Linked DNA regions of Pelodiscus sinensis. The protein of the gene in region 2 interacts with the protein of the main gene of each other region in a pairwise test. Links are inferred from orthologs where the notes say so. Each region holds a gene or a part of one and is shown on either strand. Other genes may lie near its edges.

Evidence for each region. The genes of interacting proteins can lie anywhere in the genome.
Region 1: the proteins of CCDC57 (region 2) and SFI1 interact in a two-hybrid assay, tested with the Homo sapiens proteins (2 studies listed by BioGRID). The two-hybrid records come from large-scale screens. The link is inferred for Pelodiscus sinensis from reciprocal best matches to the Homo sapiens genes CCDC57 and SFI1.

Annotation. Positions count from the first base shown.
Region 1 is NC_134725.1:8,273,076-8,283,753, forward strand, and holds the start of SFI1 (protein SFI1 homolog), read right to left. Parts: upstream 4,093-10,678; 5' UTR 4,059-4,092; exon of another isoform or gene 3,936-4,058; intron 1-3,935. Other genes in the region: EIF4ENIF1 (eukaryotic translation initiation factor 4E transporter), read left to right, coding at 9,566-9,658. UniProt on the Homo sapiens protein: Plays a role in the dynamic structure of centrosome-associated contractile fibers via its interaction with CETN2.
Region 2 is NC_134730.1:30,397,919-30,408,021, forward strand, and holds the start of CCDC57 (coiled-coil domain-containing protein 57), read right to left. Parts: upstream 4,012-10,103; 5' UTR 3,882-4,011; intron 1-3,881. UniProt on the Homo sapiens protein: Pleiotropic regulator of centriole duplication, mitosis, and ciliogenesis. Critical interface between centrosome and microtubule-mediated cellular processes. Centriole duplication protein required for recruitment of CEP63, CEP152, and PLK4 to the centrosome.

The sequences.
Region 1 (10,678 bases), on a different chromosome or scaffold from region 2:
AAATAATTCAACTCAGAATTTTTAGTGATCCTGGCCCATATGTATTTTGTTGATTGCACATATGGAAAAGAATATGAAACATAAAAAAAGATCGGTAACTAATACAAAAAGAGCAATGTGATTGGCTGATAGGGATGACATGACATTTTGATAAAGACCAATAAAGTACACAAGTCTTATTTGTTTTCTTTATAATAAGCTGCATTCCTCAAGACAGTGAATTTATAGAGGATTATTCTGCTTTTCTGGTGATTAAAGTCAAGGAGCCTTTGGATTTGTTCTTTAAAGAATGATCAAATCATGCCAGACAAATAATACTGCCTGTACTTATCGCTCTTTGAAAAAAAATACTTTCTTAAATTAAGCGGAGCAAAATACATTTTTGTAGACTATTAGTTTGGAAAATTTAGGGGTTTTTTTTTTTTGCATCCTTAGAATAGTTTTTTTTGTTTAAGTTTGCTTGCTTTTGCTTGTACTTTTTCGAGGCTAATTTTGTCCAGTTTTGATTAACTGAAAAATACCTTCCAGATTGTGACTTTTTATTTCAAATTTCCACTCAGAGAACAGTCTTGGCTAAGTTCATAAACTCCATGACAATCAAGAGTTATCATGAAACACTGGGTCACCCCAATGATAATATTAGTCAAGATTACTTAACTCTTCAGACAACAAAGAACGTCTAAATAGAACTAATCTATCATCTAATAAACCATCTTGTTAGTCTTTAAAGTGCTACATAGTCCTGTATTTTGTTTCAGCTACACCAGACTAACACGGCTACATTTCTATCACTATAAATAGAACTGCTGCTGAATAACCAAATCCTGGTATTTATATGAACCTAGGTCCTGGTATTAGGATATACTAGTTATGACTCAAGATAGAAGGTATCAGAAATTAGATGAAACTGCCTCAAACACAAATGAAGAAAACAGAATATCAAAAACAACTAGCCCCCTTGTTTCTGTAATGACCTCAATACAAAAGGACTCCTAGCCTCAACAGCCAGACTATGCATATACACGCACGCGCGCACACTCTCTAGAACTATGATAGAAATGTAGCCATGTTAGTCTAAGGTAGCTGAAACAAAATACAGGACTATGTACCACTTTAAAGACTAACAAGATGGTTTATTAGGTGATGAGCTTTCGTGGGCCAGACCCACTTCCTCAGATCAAATAGTGGAAGAAAATAGTCACAACCATCTATACCAAAGTGATACAATAAAAAAAAAGAACACATATGAAAAAGAAATCAAATTTCAGAACAGAAGGGGGATGCGGAGGGGTGGGGGGGAGGTAAATATCTGTGAGCTAATGATATTAGCTCAACGACTTAATTACCTGCATCCTGCTTCAAAAGCCTTTTAAAACTGCACTTGAAAGGGAATCCTCTGAACTGTTATTCATGCTAAAAATCGACTTTACGCCGGGGTCTTAAAGACTCTAGTTATCTTACCCATTACAAAGATAGCTTCCCCAATTATCACCTCTAATATCATTAGCTCACAGACATTTACCTTCCCCCCTCCGCCCCACATCCTCCTTCTGTTCTGAAATTTGATTTGTCCTTTTCATATGTATTCTTTTTTTTAATTGTATCCTTTGGTATATATGGTTGTGACTATTTTCTTCCACTATTTGATCTGAGGAAGTGTGTCTGGCCCACGAAAGCTCATCATCTAATAAACCATCTCGTTAGTCTTTAAAGTGCTACATAGTCCTGTACTATAGAACTACATAGTAATGCTCTAAGCCCTTGTAATAAACACAATTAAGTAATCATATTTGAGGCCCTGGCTGTAAGATAACAGTAGCAACCTATCCAGTAACCTATGTGGACATTTGTATTCTGCTAGTCTCTATGGTGTTTGTGCTTTCCCCATTTAAAGGGCTATAAATGGTAAATACAAATCTAATGTTTTTATACCATGCAAACAGTTTTTGAAAAAGGCAACACACACACCCCGAGGTGCCACACGGCACCCCCTCCCACACACACACACACCCCGAGGTGCCACACGGCACCCCCCCCCACACACACACACACCCCGAGGTGCCACACGGCACCTCCCCCCCAACACACACACACACACACCCCCCGAGGTGCCACACGGCACCCCCACACACACACACACCCCGAGGTGCCACACGGCACCCCCCCCACACACACACACACCCCGAGGTGCCACACAGCACCTCCCCCACACACACACGGCACCCCCCCCACACACACACACACCCCGAGGTGCCACACAGCACCTCCCCCACACACACACGGCACCTCCCCCCCACATACACACACACCCCCCGAGGTGCCACACGGCACCTCCACACACACACAGCACCAACACACACACCCCCCCCCGAGGTGCCACACGGCACCCCCACACACACACACACCCCGAGGTGCCACACGGCACCCCCACACACACACACACCCCGAGGTGCCACACGGCACCCCACACACACAAACACTCCCCGAGGTGCCACACGGCACCCCCCCACACACACACACTCCCCGAGGTGCCACACGGCACCCTCCCACACACATACACTCCCCGAGGTGCCACACGGCACCCCCCCACACACACACACTCCCCGAGGTGCCACACGGCACCCCCCCACACACACACACTCCCCCGAGGTGCCACACGGCACCCCCCCCACACACACACTCCCCCGAGGTGCCACACGGCACCCCCCCACACACACACACCCCCCGAGGTGCCACACGGCACCCCCCCCCACACACACACCCCCCGAGGTGCCACACGGCACCCCCCCCGCACACACACACACCCCCCGAGGTGCCACACGGCACCCCCCCCCACACACACACACCCCGAGGTGCCACACGGCACCCCCACACACACACACACACACCCCGAGGTGCCACACGGCACCCCCCCACACACACACACACACCCCGAGGTGCCACACGGCACCCCCCCACACACACACACACACCCCGAGGTGCCACACGGCACCCCCCCCACACACACACACCCCGAGGTGCCACACGGCACCCCCCCCACACACACACACCCCGAGGTGCCACACGGCACCCCCACACACACACACACACCCCGAGGTGCCACACGGCACCCCCCCCCACACACACACACTCCCCGAGGTGCCACACGGCACCCCCCCCCACACACACACACACCCCGAGGTGCCACACGGCACCCCCCCCCATACACACACACCCCGAGGTGCCACACGGCACCCCCCCCACACACACACCCCGAGGTGCCACACGGCACCTCCCCCACACACACACACCCCGAGGTGCCACACGGCACCCCCCCCCACACACACACCCCGAGGTGCCACACGGCACCCCCCCACACACACACACCCCGAGGTGCCACACGGCACCCCCCCCCACACACACACCCCGAGGTGCCACACGGCACCCCCCCCCACACACACACCCCGAGGTGCCACACGGCACCCCCCCCACACACACACACACCCCGAGGTGCCACACGGCACCCCCCCACACACACACACACCCCGAGGTGCCACACGGCACCCCCCCCACACACACACACACCCCGAGGTGCCACACGGCACCCCCCCACACACACACACACACCCCGAGGTGCCACACGGCACCCCCCCATACACACACACCCCGAGGTGCCACACGGCACCCCCCCACACACACACACACCCCGAGGTGCCACACGGCACCCCCCCCACACACACACACACCCCGAGGTGCCACACGGCACCCCCCCATACACACACACCCCGAGGTGCCACACGGCACCCCCCCCACACACACACACCCCGAGGTGCCACACGGCACCCCCCCACACACACACACACACGGCACCCCCCTCCCACACACACACACACACACACACACACACACACACACACGGCCCGAGGCACCACACCGCCCTAGCGCCGCCCACTCACAGGACCGGGCAGGGGGGCAAAGCGCCCCCGCCCTAGCGCCCCCCCGTCTGTGGAACCGGCGAGCCCGCCCCCGGGGGGCTCTTCATCGCTCCCGCCGCCGAGCGGCGCCGACCCGGGACCAACCCCAGCGAGCGGCTCTTCCCGCGCCGCCCGCGAGCGCCCCGCCCCTATCACCATGGAGACCAGGGCAGCAGCGGGCGCCCAGCCCTCGCCTCTGAGCCGACGCCTACGTTACAGCGACCTCTAGCGCCTGGGAGGAGCTCGCGCACAAGTCCCGTCGCGTCCCCTGGCCTGCTGCTCCCACGTGGCTATTGGCTATTGTGAACCAGAAGGCCCGGCAGCCCCTGGGCAAAGGACGTGATCTGAACACCCAGCTCCTGTTCTGAGTAACCTCAGACAAGCCCATGAATGGCCCAGTCTCTGGGAACACCCGAGCATGTCCCAACTCCAGCCCCAAACTAGCAGCAGGTTAGCAGTGGTACATGCAAGCAGAGCTTGCAATAGCATTCTGCCCTTCCAGCACCAGATAAACTGATCCTTACAGCACCTCTGCAGAGCTAGCCAATAGAATCAGAGCTGGGAAGAGAGCACACATGACTAAGATGATCTAGGGCAGAAGTAGGGTGTGGTACACAAGATGATTTTGAGTGGCACATGCAAAGAAAGCCTAATGGCTTGCGGATCAAGCTCAGCTCTCCCACCCTTCGCTGTTCCCCCCCTTCCCCAACCCCACAATGGGGAGCCTGTGCTTGTGATCCAGCATCTAGCTCCCACAAGATTGGAATCAGTACCAGCTTCCTGTGGGGGCCAACCCCTTCCAGCTAGCACACAGCAGTGGCCGTAAGCACTCTCAGGGTGGGAGGGTCAGTTCCTGGCAGGTGTCAGAGTCCAATCTCTCGCCAGTGTGGGGGTGTGGGAAGAGAACAGCCCAGCTGAGTGAGGGGGGACAATGGGACAGAAGATGTCAGGCCAATCAATCACTGATCACATTATGGTCACCCAGCATAGTGTCACCGGCTCAGCCATCTCCAAAGCTGGATGTAGTGGTGATGCACATTGAGCATGCAGCGGTGGAAGTCAGCTAAAATGCTGAAGGAGGTCTGGGCTTTGGGGACTAGGAGCGGTACATGTGCTTCTTCCAGCGCTGCCTGCAGATCCTGCCCAGGGCTTCTGTTCCTGGAGACCAGCAGGTACCAGCCAACCTGCTCCTGTCCCCTTTCCTGGACAGACACCTACGAGCATCCTGTGCCTGACCCCTCTCCCCTGGCCAGACACTCACCAGCACCATTCTCCTATCTACTCTCCCTCAGGATCATACTAAATGGTAAGATCTGCATCTTTATTGATTTATTAATGAAGCTGCTAAAATGTAAGTAGGATTATTATTGACTTTTAGAAAATTTCATTGGCACACAGATCCATAAATAGAAGTGATTATGTTCAATCCTGGCATGCCACTTCTGAAAGGTTGCCAACTCCTTTTCTAAGGACTTTGGGATTGAAAACTGTTACACTAACATAAACTAATTATTTATTCAGTTCATATATTTATTATTTCTTACTGGTTTTGAGAAGACAGGTCATTCGGAATGACTCTCTGTGCTAATCATGTACTTAATCTGACAGGGTCTTTCTTTCTAAACCTAATAATGTTTCTCTCAGACCATTTGCTAATCTTCATACCCAAAATGTCACGTCCATTCATTAACCCAGAGAACTCCTATACTTCAGTACAGGCAAAATTTCCAAGAGTTTTTGCCAAGAGAGAAGCCATCTGCCAATATCCAAATAAAGAATTTTGGAGCCCTGTGCACTATGGCAATTGAGGAAATCCCACCTTCCCTGCCACTAGGTCCCAGAGAAGGTGTTGAAAAGCAAGTCTCCCCACATTCAACATGTAGTGACTATTCTATACTGCTGGCATAGCTCCCTACTCCGGTTTTTTGGGGAGGGGGGGGTTTTGGCTTTCTGCACATTATTTAAGTAGGCCCTCCACCTCACCCCTTTTCTATACTACTGTGTGATTTGTTTTGGTTTTCCGACTGCACTCAGAAACCCTCCAGAGGGTACAAGTGCACTAAGTGCTTTTTAATTAATCTGGACCATCTTCTGTAAAAATCTTCATGACATTGCTTTGAAACTTGCTTTCTCAGTGCAAGATATATTAAAGAGTACAGTCCTGAAGCCTTTATGCACACAAAATTCCCATTGAAATAAATGTTATCTGCCTAAAAACTGTAAAATCAGTCCAAATTCAGCATAAAAGGGTGCAGTGTATCTTGATACAGTATTGCATTATGTTAATCATCTTTTTGCCATAGCTGTAGAAAGAGAAAAATGTAGTCTTTCATGTATATTGCTGCTTTCTAGAATGTGTGGCTACCTCCTGTTTTGTAATATGTTTTAAGAAATTATAAAATAGCAGTCTTGCTTAGGATGCAGAGATATTTACAAAAGCTACAGTTAAACTAGACGTCTACGTCTACACTGGCCCCTTTTCCGGAAGGGGCATGTTAATTTCAGCCATCGTAGTAGGGAAATGCGCGGGGGATTTAAATATCCCCCGCGGCATTTAAATAAAAATGTCCGCCGCTTTTTTCCGGCTTTTAGAAAAGCCTACTTTGAAGTAGGAATAAGACCCTCCGGAAAAGGGCGCTTTTTCCGGAGGATCGGGGCCAGTGTAGACGCTCTTTTCCGGCTTTTCTAAAAGCCGGAAAAAAGCGGCGGACATTTTTATTTAAATGCCGCGGGGGATATTTAAATCCCCCGCACATTTCCCTACTACGATGGCTGAAATTAACATGCCCCTTCCGGAAAAGGGGCCAGTGTAGACGTAGCCCATAAGTTTGCAATCCATTTCAAAGGACATAAGAACACAAAGGTCCATCCAGTCCATCTCATCCAACAGTGGCCAATGCCAGATGCCCCAGAGGGGGTGAAAAGAACAGGAAATCATCAAATGAACCCTCTCACATCACCAATTTAAATTTTCAGACCCTGACAAACAGAGGCTAGGGACACCATTCCTACCCATTCTGGTTAATAAGTATTGATGGACCTAACCTCCATGAATGTATCTAAAGTATTTTACAAAATCAATTAAAAAAAAATCCATAGATAGGTTAGTAATCTACACTGTCTTTGTTTCAGTACTCCTTTCCCCCTCACATTACAAGTTTTTTTTCCTTATAGAAAGCTGATTTTCTATAAAGGTTCAGAAAAGGACAACGAAAATTATTTGGGGTTTGGAACGAGTCTCATATGAAGAGAGATTAAAAAAAGGAGATTACGGAGCGATATGATCAGGGCTGGACTAAGGGATGGGCGAGCTGGGCAGCTGCCCGGGGCGCCAACTGATGGGGGGCGCCTGATGGCAGCTGTAAGGGGCATGCGGCGTCCCTTATAGCTGCCATCAGGCGCCGCGCACCCGGCTCCCGTAGCACCAGCCCCCCCATGCCCATGGCACTGGCCAGCAGCGCCCTTCCCGCCACAGCCGCAGGGCCCTTATTCCCACAATCTAAGAACTAGGGGTCACTAAATGAAATTAATAGGCAGCATATTTAAAACAAAGAAAAGGAAGTTTTTCTTCACTCAATGCACAGTCAACCTGTGGAAGCCCTTGCCAAAGGATGTTGTGAAGTCTAACAGGGTTCCAAAAAAGAGCTAGATATATTCATAGAGTTTTGGTCCATCATTGGTTATTAGCCAGGATGGGTAGGGATGGTGTCCCTAGCCTCTGTTTGTCTGGAAATGGATGACCGGAGAGGGATCAGATGATAGGGTTGTCAGGTGTCTGATTTTGAACTGGACAATCCATTATTTGAGCTTTCTGTCCAGGAAACAAATGGAGAAAATAGAAATGAGAAACTATAAATGTCCGGTATTTTGTAAATAAGATGTAATGTAGATTGTGATGTAATGTCGAGCGATCTGGTATTTTTGTTGAAACCATCTGGCAACCCTATCAGCTGATGATTATCTGTTGTGTTCCCTTTTCTCTGGGGCATTTGGAATTGGCCACTGGGCTAGATGGACCTTTGGTCTGACCCTCTATGACCTTATGACTTAAATAGAATTCGAGTGGGTAGGAAAGATGCCCCTAGGCTCTGTGCTGGGCCCGCCCCCCAAAAGCAGCCCACCTACAAACAAGGAAAACAAGACGCCTGTGCAGCAGCTCAGCACTCGCGCTGCTGCCTATCAAGTCCCTATCAGTGTGCACGTGGCCCTTAGCCACAGCCCCTCCCCCGCAGCATGGGCAGCATCGCAGGGCTGGCCGCTGGCAGTGCCTGAGCAGTCCTCGCCATCGGTCAAAACCATCCGTTGTCTGTGGGGAGGGCTATAAACAGAAATCCGTGATTCTCTCTTGTTGCTCAATTGAAGGAGGCGAGACGTCGCCCTTCCGTGGAAAGCTGCGCTTTTCAGTCAGGCAACACAGCGGGCAGCCCCGCCGGGGCCGCCGGGCCGCGCCTGCGCGGTGACTATTAAAGGGGGCGGTGAGCCGACTCCAGGTTACGGTGGCCGAGAGGAGACAGAGTGCGAGAGTCGGGTAAATCGGGAGAGGGCGCGCGAGTAAACTGGAGGAGGAAGAAGAGGGGGAGCGGCGGCGGCGCGAGCCTGGGGCCGGCGAGCGGCCGGGCGCGGAAGGCGGGAGCGAGCCCTGTGTGGCGGGCGGGGGGAGGGGCGGCGAGAAGCCGGTCCCCAGCAAGGCCTGGTGGTGAGGAGCGGAGGGGACCTCGCCTGCCGCGCGGTGAGTCCCCCTGGGCCCGCCCGGGCGTTACCTGCGCTCGGCGGGCTGCTTCCTGGGCCTCCGCGCAGACCTGTGGCCGGGCTGGGGGGATGCTCAGTCGGGTCCTCTCAGCCATGGGGGGGGGGGGGGAGGGGCTGCCTTGGCGACCGTGCGTCAGGCGTCCCTCATCCCCATCCTCGTTCTTCACTTCCCCACGGCAAGCTTGGGAGCGGCCGAGAACACACAATACCCGGGTGGATGAGCTGCTATTGGCCGTGATGATTATGGGGGGGGGGGGGAGATGTGTGTGGGGGGGGGTTAATAAAATTGTTGCTTATTATTATTATTTATTTATTTTAACAGTGCTGGAAGCAGAGGGATCTGCTCTGCGACCCATGGTTTGGGGACCTGGACCGTTCCATGGTATGCATATTTATCTGTGGTCCTGTACGGTGCAAAATGGGGTGCAAGTGACTCTCTCAGACAGCTTGCGTAGGGGCCTAGGACTGCCCGGCCTGAGGGAAGGGGGCTTCCTATCCAGTCCTTCTCTTTCATGAGCTTTTCCTTCTGTACGCTAATTCTATCCCTATGATGATCTTTGTGGCTCTGAAGCAATTTAAGAGCTCTGTTTTGAACCACAGAGGAATTCAGGCACCTAAGCTAAATTGAAAGCACTTGTTCTAGGAACTAGACTCTCTTACTGCCAGTTATGGTTTAGATATACAGAACAACCAAAACATCAGTCAAAAGCTGTTATGGAATGTGATTGTTAGCTGTAAGTTGGTGACAGTGTTCCAAAACCTGTAAGGAAGGTGTACCGTAAAACCTTCAATTATACTGCCTATTTTATTAACATAATTCTGTATTTTTAATTAGGTCAATAATCAAAGGCTTTCAAATAGACATGGATAAGAGAGGGGCTATAGGAGAAGTTGAAAATGGAGACTCTTTTCTTGACTTGGACAGAATAACAGTAAAATCTCATCGTTACACAAAAGTAAGCTAACTTTTTTCTTTAAGTGTTTTTATTAAGCAGACTTAGAGATGGATTGAAACAGTATCAAATTTTAGAAGAAAACGTATCCTACTTTCCTCATAAGGTCAGTCTAGAGTAGATTTGAAGGTGTGATTGATGGCATCTTTTTAAAGGTCTAGTATAGAAAGGGACTTCTGTGTTAAATGGACCCCCACCTCACTATATAGTATCAATGTGTTTCTATGATGTAGGTGACACCTATGTTTGGCTTCCACTAGACTTTTAAATGGGTCAGCAAACATGATAAGTAACACATGTACTAACATGTCTTAAATTCTAGTCTGGTCAAGTTCCAAAGTAGCCAAACATGAAAAGTTTAGGAGGAAGGATAGGATAGTCTTTTTGGAATGTTTAATTCTAATGTCTACAGCTGTATCCAACATGGCTTGTAAACTATGCTTATGTGCCTGTGCAGTTTCAGAACTTATGAACAAGTTCAACTGTGAAGCATGGGAAGGCTAAGGTCCTACCAAAGATAATAACCAATTTAAAATTGGAAGAAACTTTCCAAGTATTGACAGTCAAACTTAAGCTTCAGAGACATACTCTTATTGGTTCATGCACTTACGAATTCATTTCTTCTGTATTAGAGAAGATGGTAGTCCACTTCTGTTAACATTAATATTCTGGATTTTCAGTGCTGCTTACACAAACAGTATCTACTAGTGTATAAACACCACCTCTCCAAACAACTGTCTGTCAGTTGACAGAGTGCTTCTGCCAGTTACCTTCATCCATGTTGATGGGCTTGCCAGCATAGCTGTGTAAATTAGGGTATAGATTCTCTCCTCCTCTCTTCTCCATCCGCCCCCCCCCCTGCCACCCAGCAACTTGCATCAGCAAAGATAAGTCAGATAAGTGTAGACCTAGCCTCAGAACTAGAGAGAGAGAGAGGCCAGTCTTCTGCTATAAGTCCTTGACCAGTAATCTGTTCAAATATATACAGTATTTGATTTTCTGTGGAGTACCAGAATCCTACTG
Region 2 (10,103 bases):
TCCTTGGGGCCAGGCGAGTAGACAGGAAAGGATTAAACAAAGGGGGAAGGTAAAAAGAGGGAAGAAATGGGCACTCTGCACAAAATCAATATGTTGAGAATGAAATTAATCAAGAAATCAAAGAACATGAAAAGAAAAAACTCTTTAATAATCTATACACTAAAGCTACTAGACTGGTTAACATACAAGAGGAACTGAAATTCCTGATCTGTGAGCATAAATTCAATCTCATTGATATTACTGAAACCAGGTGAGATGATTCACACTGGAATGTTAAAGTCAATGTTATAATGTATTTTGGAAGGATCAAGTAGGCATAAGGAGAAGGAGAGTGGCACTCAACATACAAAAATATTACATATTTCCAAAAACAAAAGGAAAAACTATGTAGCACTTTAAAGACTAACAAGATGGTTTAATAGGTGATGAGCTTTCATGGGCCAGACCCACTTCCTCAGATAATATTCTGGAAGAGAACTGGCATGACCATATATACCAAAGGAATACAATGAAAAAAGTGAACACATTATTAAACTGACAAATCAGATTTAGTACAGAAGATAGAGTGAGGGGGAGGGAGGGAGGAAATCGCTATTTGAGTCAATGAATAGCTAATCAGGGGTGAACTGATCAAATTTTATTTGCATATTCATTTTGCAAATGATGAACCTGCAAATAAAATGTTGCCCGTCTGCCAAAAGCCCAGCCTCCAGAGCCCCCAGTCCCAGCCCTAATCCCTAGAACCACTCACCCCTCCACTATCCCCCAGTGCCAGCCATTGACCCTAGAGTCCCCTGCACACAAGCCCCTCAGTGCCAGCCTCCTGCCCTCAGAGCCCCCCCACTAGCCAGCCCCCCCATCCCAAATACTTCTGTGCCAGTCCCCCATCCCTTAGAGACCACCTACACCAAACCCCCCAGTACCAGCCTACCATTTCCAGAGCCCCACTGCACCCAACCTCCCACAGAGCCTCCCCAATGCTTGCCCCCCAATATTAGCCCCATCCCCAGAGCCCCCCAGTGCCAGCCCTGCCCCTCCACTACTAGCTCAGCCTGCAGAGCCCCCCAGCACTAACCCCACCCCTAGAGCCCTCAGTGCCTGCCTCGCCGCCCTCACCTAGCTATGCACTGCTGCCTGTGTCCCAGCAGCTCTGGGGGCTGGGACTGAGGTACACCATCCAGTGCTGCCCTTCCGACTGTGGCTGTTGGGAGAGGTCTGTCCTGCCCCGCCTCTCAGGCAACCAGCACCAGGCAGGGGCGGGGTCTCCTCTGACTTCAGAAGAGTGCTTCCCTGCATGGCAGGAGGGTCACATGGAGCGGGGCCTCCTCCCGGCCACAGAAGAGTGCGCTCTTCCTTGGCTGGGAGGAAACCCCGCCCCTGCCCAGCACTGGCTCGCTGAGAGGCAGGGCAGGACATGCCTCTTCCAACAGCCACAACAAGAGCAGTGTTCTTCAGCCCTGGCCCCCAGAGCCACCATGGCCTGACAACCAGAAGCCTGCAGCCAGGCAGAGGGCCGCAGCCTGGCGGTTGGGAGCCACTGCTGTAAGCATGCGGGATAGTGAGAGGGGATAGTGTCAGCAGATGCCTCCATCTGGCCATGGCAGCCTGGCTCCAGCCCCCCTCTGTCTCCTGTGGTCTGTCCCCAGCCGCCGTGCTCCTGAGGCAGATCCCATGGCCCAGCTGCAAGAGTCCAGTCATGGTGGCTTTGGTTGGTCTATCTAACCTGTTCTTAAATATCTCCAGTGACAGAGATTCCACAAACCCCTTAGGCAATTTATTCTAGTGTTTCACCACCCTGGCAAGTAGGAGGTCTTTCCTAAGGTCCAACCTAAACCTCCCTTGCTGCAGTTTAAGTCCATTGCTTATAGTCCTATCCTCAGAGGCCAAGGAGAGTAATTTTCCCTCCTCCTTGTAATACCCTTTTTGATACTTGAAAACCGCTATCATGTCCCCTCTCAGTCTTCTCTTTTCCAACTAAAGAAGCCCGATTCTTTCACTTTTCCCTCATAGCTCATGTTTTCTAGACCAGGGAGGCCAACCCATTAAACGAAGACAGCCGAAACACTGCCACCATCTTGCCACACTGAACAGCTCCTTTGCACCTGGTGAGCAGAGACCCCAGGGCTGTTTCTAGGGGCGCTTTGCGAGCCACGGTGGAGGGAGCTTCGCGAGCCGCACTTTCAGGGGTGAAGAGCCGCATGCATCTCACGGGTTGGCCACCCCCGTTCTAGACCTTTAATCATTCTTGTTGCTCTTCTCTGGACCTTCTCCAGTTTCTCCACATCTTTCTTGAAATGTGGTGCCCAGAACTGGACACAGTACTCCAACTGGAGCCTAACCAGCGCAGAGCAGAGCGGAAGAATGACTCCTCGGGTCTTGCTCACAACACTCCTGTTTAGTTCCAAGGGGAGGATGGGACGGGAGGGCTGGGCCTCCCCCCCTTCGATAAGGGGAGACACGGCACGGGGTCTGGGCACCCCAGCTAAATGGGGGTGGGATAAGACATGGGAGGGGCGCCCCAGCTAAATGGAGGTGGGGCAGGACACGGGGGTGGGTGCCCCGGTTAAACAGAGGTGGGATAAGAAACGGGGGGAACGCCCCGGTTAAATAGGGGTGGGGCAGGACACAGGGGGCGCCCCGGTTAAATGGGGGTGGGATAAGAAACAGAGGGCGCCCCGGTTAAATGGGGGTGGGATAAGAAACGGGGAGTGCCCCGGTTAAATGGGGGTGGAGCAGGACACAGGGGGGCACCCTGGTTAAATGTGGGTGGGGCAGGACACAGGGGAGCGCCCTGGTTAAATGGGGGTGAGATAAGATTAAATAGGGGTGGGATAAGAAAGGGGGGCGCCCCGGTTCAATAGGGGTTGGGCAGGACACAGGGGGCACTCCGGTTAAATGGGGGTAGAATAAAAACGGGGGGCGACCTGATTAAATAGGGGTGGGCAGGACGCGGGGGGGGAGCCCCGGTTAAATAGGGGCGGGGCAGGACGCGGGGGGGGAGGAGCCCCAGTTAAATAGGGGTTGGGCAGGACACAGGGGGCACTCCGGTTAAATGGGGGTAGAATAAGAAACGGGGGGCGACCTGATTAAATAGGGGTGGGCAGGACGCGGGGGGGGAGCCCCGGTTAAATAGGGGCGGGGCAGGACGCGGGGGGGGAGGAGCCCCAGTTAAATAGGGGTTGGGCAGGACACAGGGGGCACTCCGGTTAAATGGGGGTAGAATAAGAAACGGGGGGCGACCTGATTAAATAGGGGTGGGCAGGACGCGGGGGGGGAGCCCCGGTTAAATAGGGGCGGGGCAGGACGCGGGGGGGGAGGAGCCCCAGTTAAATAGGGGTTGGGCAGGACACAGGGGGCACTCCGGTTAAATGGGGGTAGAATAAGAAACGGGGGGCGACCCGATTAAATAGGGGTCGGCAGGACGCGGGGGGGAGCCCCGGTTAAATAGGGGCGGGGCAGGACGCGGGGGGGGAGGAGCCCCGGTTAAATAGGGGTTGGGCAGGACACAGGGGGCACTCCGGTTAAATGGGGCTAGAATAAGAAACGGGGGGCGACCCGATTAAATAGGGGTCGGCAGGACGCGGGGGGGAGCCCCGGTTAAATAGGGGCGGGGCAGGACGCGGGGGGGAGCCCCGGTTAAATAGGGGTGGGATAAGAAACGGGGGGCGCCCCGGTTAAATGGGGGCGAGTCAGGACGCGGGGGGGCGCCCCGGTTAAATAGGGGCGGGGCAGGACGCGGGGGGGGGGGGCGCGCCCCAGATCAATGGGGGCGGGGGAGGACGCGGGGGGGGGAGGTGGCGCCCCGGTTCAATGGAGGGGCAGGACGCGGGGGGGGTGCCCCGGTTCAATGGAGGGGCAGGACGCGGGGGCGGGTAACTCACCGGTTGCTCTGACAGGCGGCAGCGGGTCCTCGCGGAGCAGGCCCCGTCTCCATGGGAACGCTCCGGGAACGCGCCGCCGCGCAGCGCCCGGGCTCCCAGCCCCTTCAAGAGCGCTGAGCCCCAACGCGCAGCCTCGCAGAGACCGGACCCGCTTCTGCACCAGGCCGCCGCCTGCAGCCAGCACCGAAACTGCCTCCCTCAGCCAGAAACTCAGGCAGGCGGGGAGGGGTGCGGGCTCTGCATGTTCCTGGCACCATCCTCCCGCTCCTGGGTGTGCAGGACTCCTTAGACCTACCAAGCAATCAGGCTTGTGTCTAGCCAATAGAGGTGAGTGCATGATGCAGGAATAGGGGTTTTGTTAAGGAGATTTTGCTAGGAAAGCATAATTTAAAGTTATTCTTAATATATCCAAAAACCAAAATAAGATCTGAACTCATCCTCTTCCTCCTCCTGTAATCGATTAACTGTCAGTGAGATGGAAGAAGCAAGATGTGAAGCATCATCCACTTTAGTGACTCATCTATCTGGCAATTATGTGGTTAATTCACTGACATGTTTGTTCACTGATGATTTATCTCAAGTTTCCAGGTTACACAAACTGTCCTGCCAGACTAAAGAGAATTCATGCTTCCTTTTTCCAACCAGAATCTCATAGAAATTAGCACTGTCTGTAATAGAGGTATATTGGATCTTAAAACAAAAAAAATAAAAAAGTTGTTACATTGTTACTGATGCAGGCATATTTCTTATTTGGATCATAAAATAAATACTTTAAAGACTAACAATACAATGTTCAACCCATCACTAAGGGACTTACAGCCACCGAGATTTTTCCATTAATAATTGTTATAATTATTCAGTGCTGAGTTATTTGCCAGCTATTTAATTTGACTAATATATATAAGTTGACACCTTTCTGAACTCAAGAACAGGATTTGTCTCAAACCTTAAAAAAAAGGCTCTGGTCCAAAACCAACCTGGGACTCTTTTAGCCCTAAAAGAAAACTTTTCAGAAAGTTCTAAGCATGTGAAAGTTTGAGATACCAGATATAATGAGATACCAACACAATCTTTAGTAAATAGTAGTCCTACCTAAGCATCCACCATTGTAACAAAATGCACATAGTACAACTGTACGCCATGGCTATGTCTACACGACAGAAAAACATCCAGGGAACGCATCCGCTTTTTCAGAACAGTTTCTGAAAAACTGTGTGCATTCTTTCAGAAGCCCTGTATTCCTCATTTTATGAGAAATAAGGGATCTTCCAAAAGAGGAGGTTTTTCCCACATTTGGCCCCGTGTAGATGGGCCAAATGTCGGAAAAGCCTCTTCCGGAAAAAAAAGCAGAAAAAACGCAGTGTAGACCTAGCCTAAGTGCTGGTCCACACAACAATATAGTGCATGGCAAGCTGAAGTGTACAGTGTTCGAGTTCACTACCTACTAGCTGTGGACTCAGTTCCTGTGAACATTCTTTAGCGTGCTTTGACTTTAAGGGTGTGTCTAGACTACAGGGTTTTTTTTAAAAAGTGGCCTTTTTTCGAAAAAACTTCCCCTGCTTCTAGACTGCTGCCACGTTCTTTCGAAAGTAAATTGAAAGAATGCGGCAGTTCTTTCGACCATGAAAAACCTCGTTTTATGATGAATAACGCCTTTTTTTGAAAGTGCTCTTTTGAAAAAAGGCTCTATGTAATACAAACTGCTTTTTTGAAAGAGAGCATCCAGACTGCCTGGGTGCTCTCTTTCAAAAAAGCGGCTTGCTTTTTCAATAGTACTGGTCGTAGTCTAGATGCTCTTTTTCTAAAGAGGCTTTTTCTAAAGTATCTTTCGAAAAACCCTCTTTCGAAAGAGGATTGCAGTCTAGACGTAGCCTAGACTGTACACAGTAACAGGGTCCACATGGCAACTTAATACAAAGCAGATTAGTGCACTGTAGATTTACACTCCAGCTTTCTTTATACTAATTCTGTGGACAAACTCTAAGGCCCAGGTCCTCAAAGGCAGCACTCAAGTCCATATTTCACAATAACTACAGGTGTATGAAGTCATGCCTTTATGACATAGCTGGATGATGGTGTTGAAGCCAGAAGAAAGGGAATAGTGCCCTTATCTATGAATCCCTAGCTGTCCCCTCTCTTCTGGAGCAAGGTAGACCTACCAGATACAGCTGGGAAGGCAGAGTCCCAAAGATCAGTCTTTTCTTTGTGGCTCTAGGTGCTCCATGGCTCTCCCAGCCTAGACTGTGTGTCAGAGGAGCCTACCAGGCAGGCAGTCTCTCAGATTGAGAAAGACAAAATGGAGTCTGGGATCCTCTGCCACAGAGAGCAACTCACAAACTGCACCATCTTCTGCTGCTGCACCTGTAACCTGACAGCAGTAATCAGCTCCACCCAAGAGAGGTGTTGGCCAGCAAGCTAGAAACCTAAGCATGAGTCCTGTTACTGGACCAATGGACCATAGTAGTGGACTAAAGGTACAGTTGCCCTGAACTGTTTAATCAAACAGACAATGAATCAGCAATCCTCTCTTGCAACAAATTCAGAAGTACTGCATCACTGGTGACATCATCACCTACAACTCTAAAGCTACATTTCCTGATTTTGCAAGTGTATGAAATCTTTTTTCCTTTTAGTGGTTGCCACAGTTCAGGGCAACTGTGGCTGTATTACTCCACTGCGTTCAGCAAATGCACCTGTGCTTATGTTTCTGTTTCCCTGGCCATCACATATTTGAGTTGGAGATTGATGCCTCTGTCTGTCTTTTGATCAGGGTTTTTCTAAGATGCACTGTTTCCTGTCTACATTGAATTCCCCAGCAAGACAAACTGTCTCAGGAGCCCTGCTTTGCTTTTCTCAAGCTATAAAGAGCATAGATTGTCTCAGTTCTTTTTAAGCAAGCACATTTTTAAGGTGAAAGTATTACCTGGATATTACAAACAATAAATGAAAGTATGCTCATGCCAGAGATCACCCAAATGCGAAAAAGATCAAACAGATAAAAAGCACTTCAAACTCGCTAGGCAGTTGTTCTGCTCTTACAAGTTCATGACAAACACACCTATGAATCTGGAAATCACTTCTTTATATAATTTGGGGCTGTGATCTGAACTCAATTAACAGGTGATCAGCACACAAAATATCCCCTCTTCAGGCTAAAAGTACAACCAGAGGAATTATATTCATTTACACTTCCCCCTAGATATTTCCTGGAAAACCCACTTCACTTTTAAAGGTTCATGTTGTTTCAAGTTGTCCTTTCAAGCGCACAGTGCGTCAAGGTTTATGTTAGTCAGGTCTCCTCCATATACTTATTACATATAATCCCATTAAACTACAGAAACATTTGTATTTTTAATACACTGAACTCCTAAGATTCTTAAACATAATTCAATAAGATTTATAACACATGGGCAGTGAGTGACCCCATGTCTTGGGGAGGCAAGCCCTGCAGCCCTGTCCCTTCCACCTGAGGCCCCATCTCCTCTATGCCCACCATGGCCCAGCCTTCCCTCACTGCTGGCCTCTGCCCAGTCCCCTCCATGGGGCAGGTGGCTCTTGCCATCGGCTCTAGGGTAATGCCCCCAGCCCAGGATTATGTAGCCCCAGCCTGCGCTGGCCTTCGAATGCCAGCAGGCATCACAACTGCAGTCTCCCCTGGCTAGAGAGATTCAAAGAACGTCTCCAGAGATGGAGGTGGGTGGTGTGACCACAACCTACCCCAGCCAAAGCTCAGGGGAACAGCGGGCAGCATAGCTGTAGCCTGCCCCAATCCTGGAGCTGCAGAGAGCTGGTTGATGGCATGGCTGCAGCTTCCTCTGGCCCCAGGCTTCCAGCAGGCACCATGGCTCCAGCCTCCCCCTACCGCAAGGTACCAGAGACAAGAGCTGGGAGGCACAGCCCCAGCCTGCCTGTTCCATGCCTACTATATGGTCTCCAAAAATGCCCCAGAACCAGGAAGTCACCCCCACCAGCGAAGTCACTAGCCCCAGCATGGGGAAGGCAGGTGACACTGCAGGTCCCAGCCTCTGTCACTGCAAGAGCAAATGGGAAGGAGCCTGGGGGACTCTGGTGGACCATGGGTAGAGCCAGGTGAGGCAGTTTGAGAAGGCATTGCCCTCCCCTGCCTATGATGCCCTCCACCCATGTTTATACAGGCTATTGCAGCAAGTTGCCGTATCTGCCACAGTAGTAATGGGTAGGAGTTAACAGATAGACAGATTCTCTATTCTAATTGAGGTATGCTCAGTGCAACAAGAGAGTAACAGGGCAAAAGTGACTTAAAGCCATCTTTCTGGCATCTGTTTTTGAGGCCTAGCCCCTGATGTGAGTTAGAATACAAGATGATAAACTCCACAAATAGTTTCGCAATGGAGAGGGAGTTGGCTACTGTTTGTAAATATTACATTTTAAGCACTTAAATGCAAAACCATTATTTTAATACTACACTGAAATGTAATTGAAAAAGTAATATATGCAGAAGTACTGTTCTCACAGCTGTATTTTTGCCATAATATGCATAATAATATGGCTTTTCATTATATGATCATAGAAACCTGATGAATATAATTCCATATTAGTAACTAATGCTATACAATATTGGTGAGCAACCTACGTCATATGGGCTGCATGCGGCCAACTGGGGCTCCACCTGTAGTCCACTGACCCCCTGGCTGCCCTCTTCCCCCACAAGCTTCTGGTCCACTGGAGCACCAGAGCCCATATTTCCTCTTCCTCCCACTCCTTCCCAACATTCTCAGAGGAGACATGAATCACCTTATTCACCCTCCATTTCTGCTCCCCCTCCACCCTTCCAGAGCTGGAATGCTGCAAATCAGCTGTATGCAGCATTCCAGCTCTGGGACTGAGGGGGAAGAGCAGGTACTGAGAGCAAATTAGGCAATTTGCAGCTCCTCTGAAAGTACTGGAAGGGAGGGGGAGGAGCAGGTAAGTCTGAGGCTCCTGTGCCCCAGTGTGGGAGAGGCACATGGAGGAGTCCAGTAAGGCCGCATGTGGACCCCCAATGAGCTGTGGGCTGCGGCCCACTGAGGTGAAGGAGAGTCATTTATGTTGCCCACTCCCTTTCTAGAGCTTCAGAGGGGTAGTCAAGTTAGTCTGTAACTGGAAAAACTTAAAAAACAACAAATAGCCTAGCAGCACCTTAAAAAACTAACAAAAACATGTAGATGGTACCTTACACATCTTAATGACTTAACCAACCGGTGCTTATAGAGGTGCAAATTGTTCTTATCAGCCTCTTGTAACTTGAACAATCCAATTCACTATTTTGTTTTCTCTTATTTCCCCCCCACATACTCACCTTCCCTTACTTATTCTTGGGTCTGGACTTCTAATACTCGGGTCATCTGAAGCAGGGCAGCATTATGACTTTTGTGGGCCGTAGGCACTTTTGCCTTCGTGGGCCCCTTCCTCCATAAACAAAAAATATTAAAAATTATATTTTACGACTGCGTTGGTATAAAGACAAATATAATCCAGGCTGGATTATATTCGTCTTTATACCAACGCAGTCTAAGTATGTATCTCACTTATTGCGAGAAGTAAACTGCGCTGAGGCTAAGTGGGCCTCCTATCCGCCATCATTCAGTTGGCGCCTATGGCTGAGGCCATATTGGCCATACAGTTTACAGTCACTAAGCTTCTCACTATAGTACAAAATAATAGTGCATATATCAAAGTGTTCTCTGTTTTGATTACTTAAAAGGTACGTATTATAAGTAATTTCATCAGTAAGTTATCATCTATTTAGGTTAGGGATTACCTTATATAAATAATTTATTAATTTTGCAAATACAGGATTGTTATTCACTAAATACGTGTGAATAAATTTGAATGGTATGACGTGCACATGTATATTTTATCATGTCTATATTGTGTGCTTAATTATAACATTTGAAAAAAACAGTTACATCTCAAATATACTCATCATATTTCAGAACTGATAAGTAGTTCCATAAAATTATTATATGTATACATGTGCAAGAAATTATTCAGTAAAAATGCAAAAGTGTATTACTGATGGAAATTCCATTACGGTGTAATATCCGATTGTTGAGTTGAGCTCTAACTTCCGATTTGAATTATTGCAATTAATAATATAATATAAACAATTAAATTTTTAAATACTGTGATTTTTTTTGTATTTTAATACAGAATTTTTAGAGATATGATATTAATTTTTATCCTTGCAGTTAGAAATTAAAA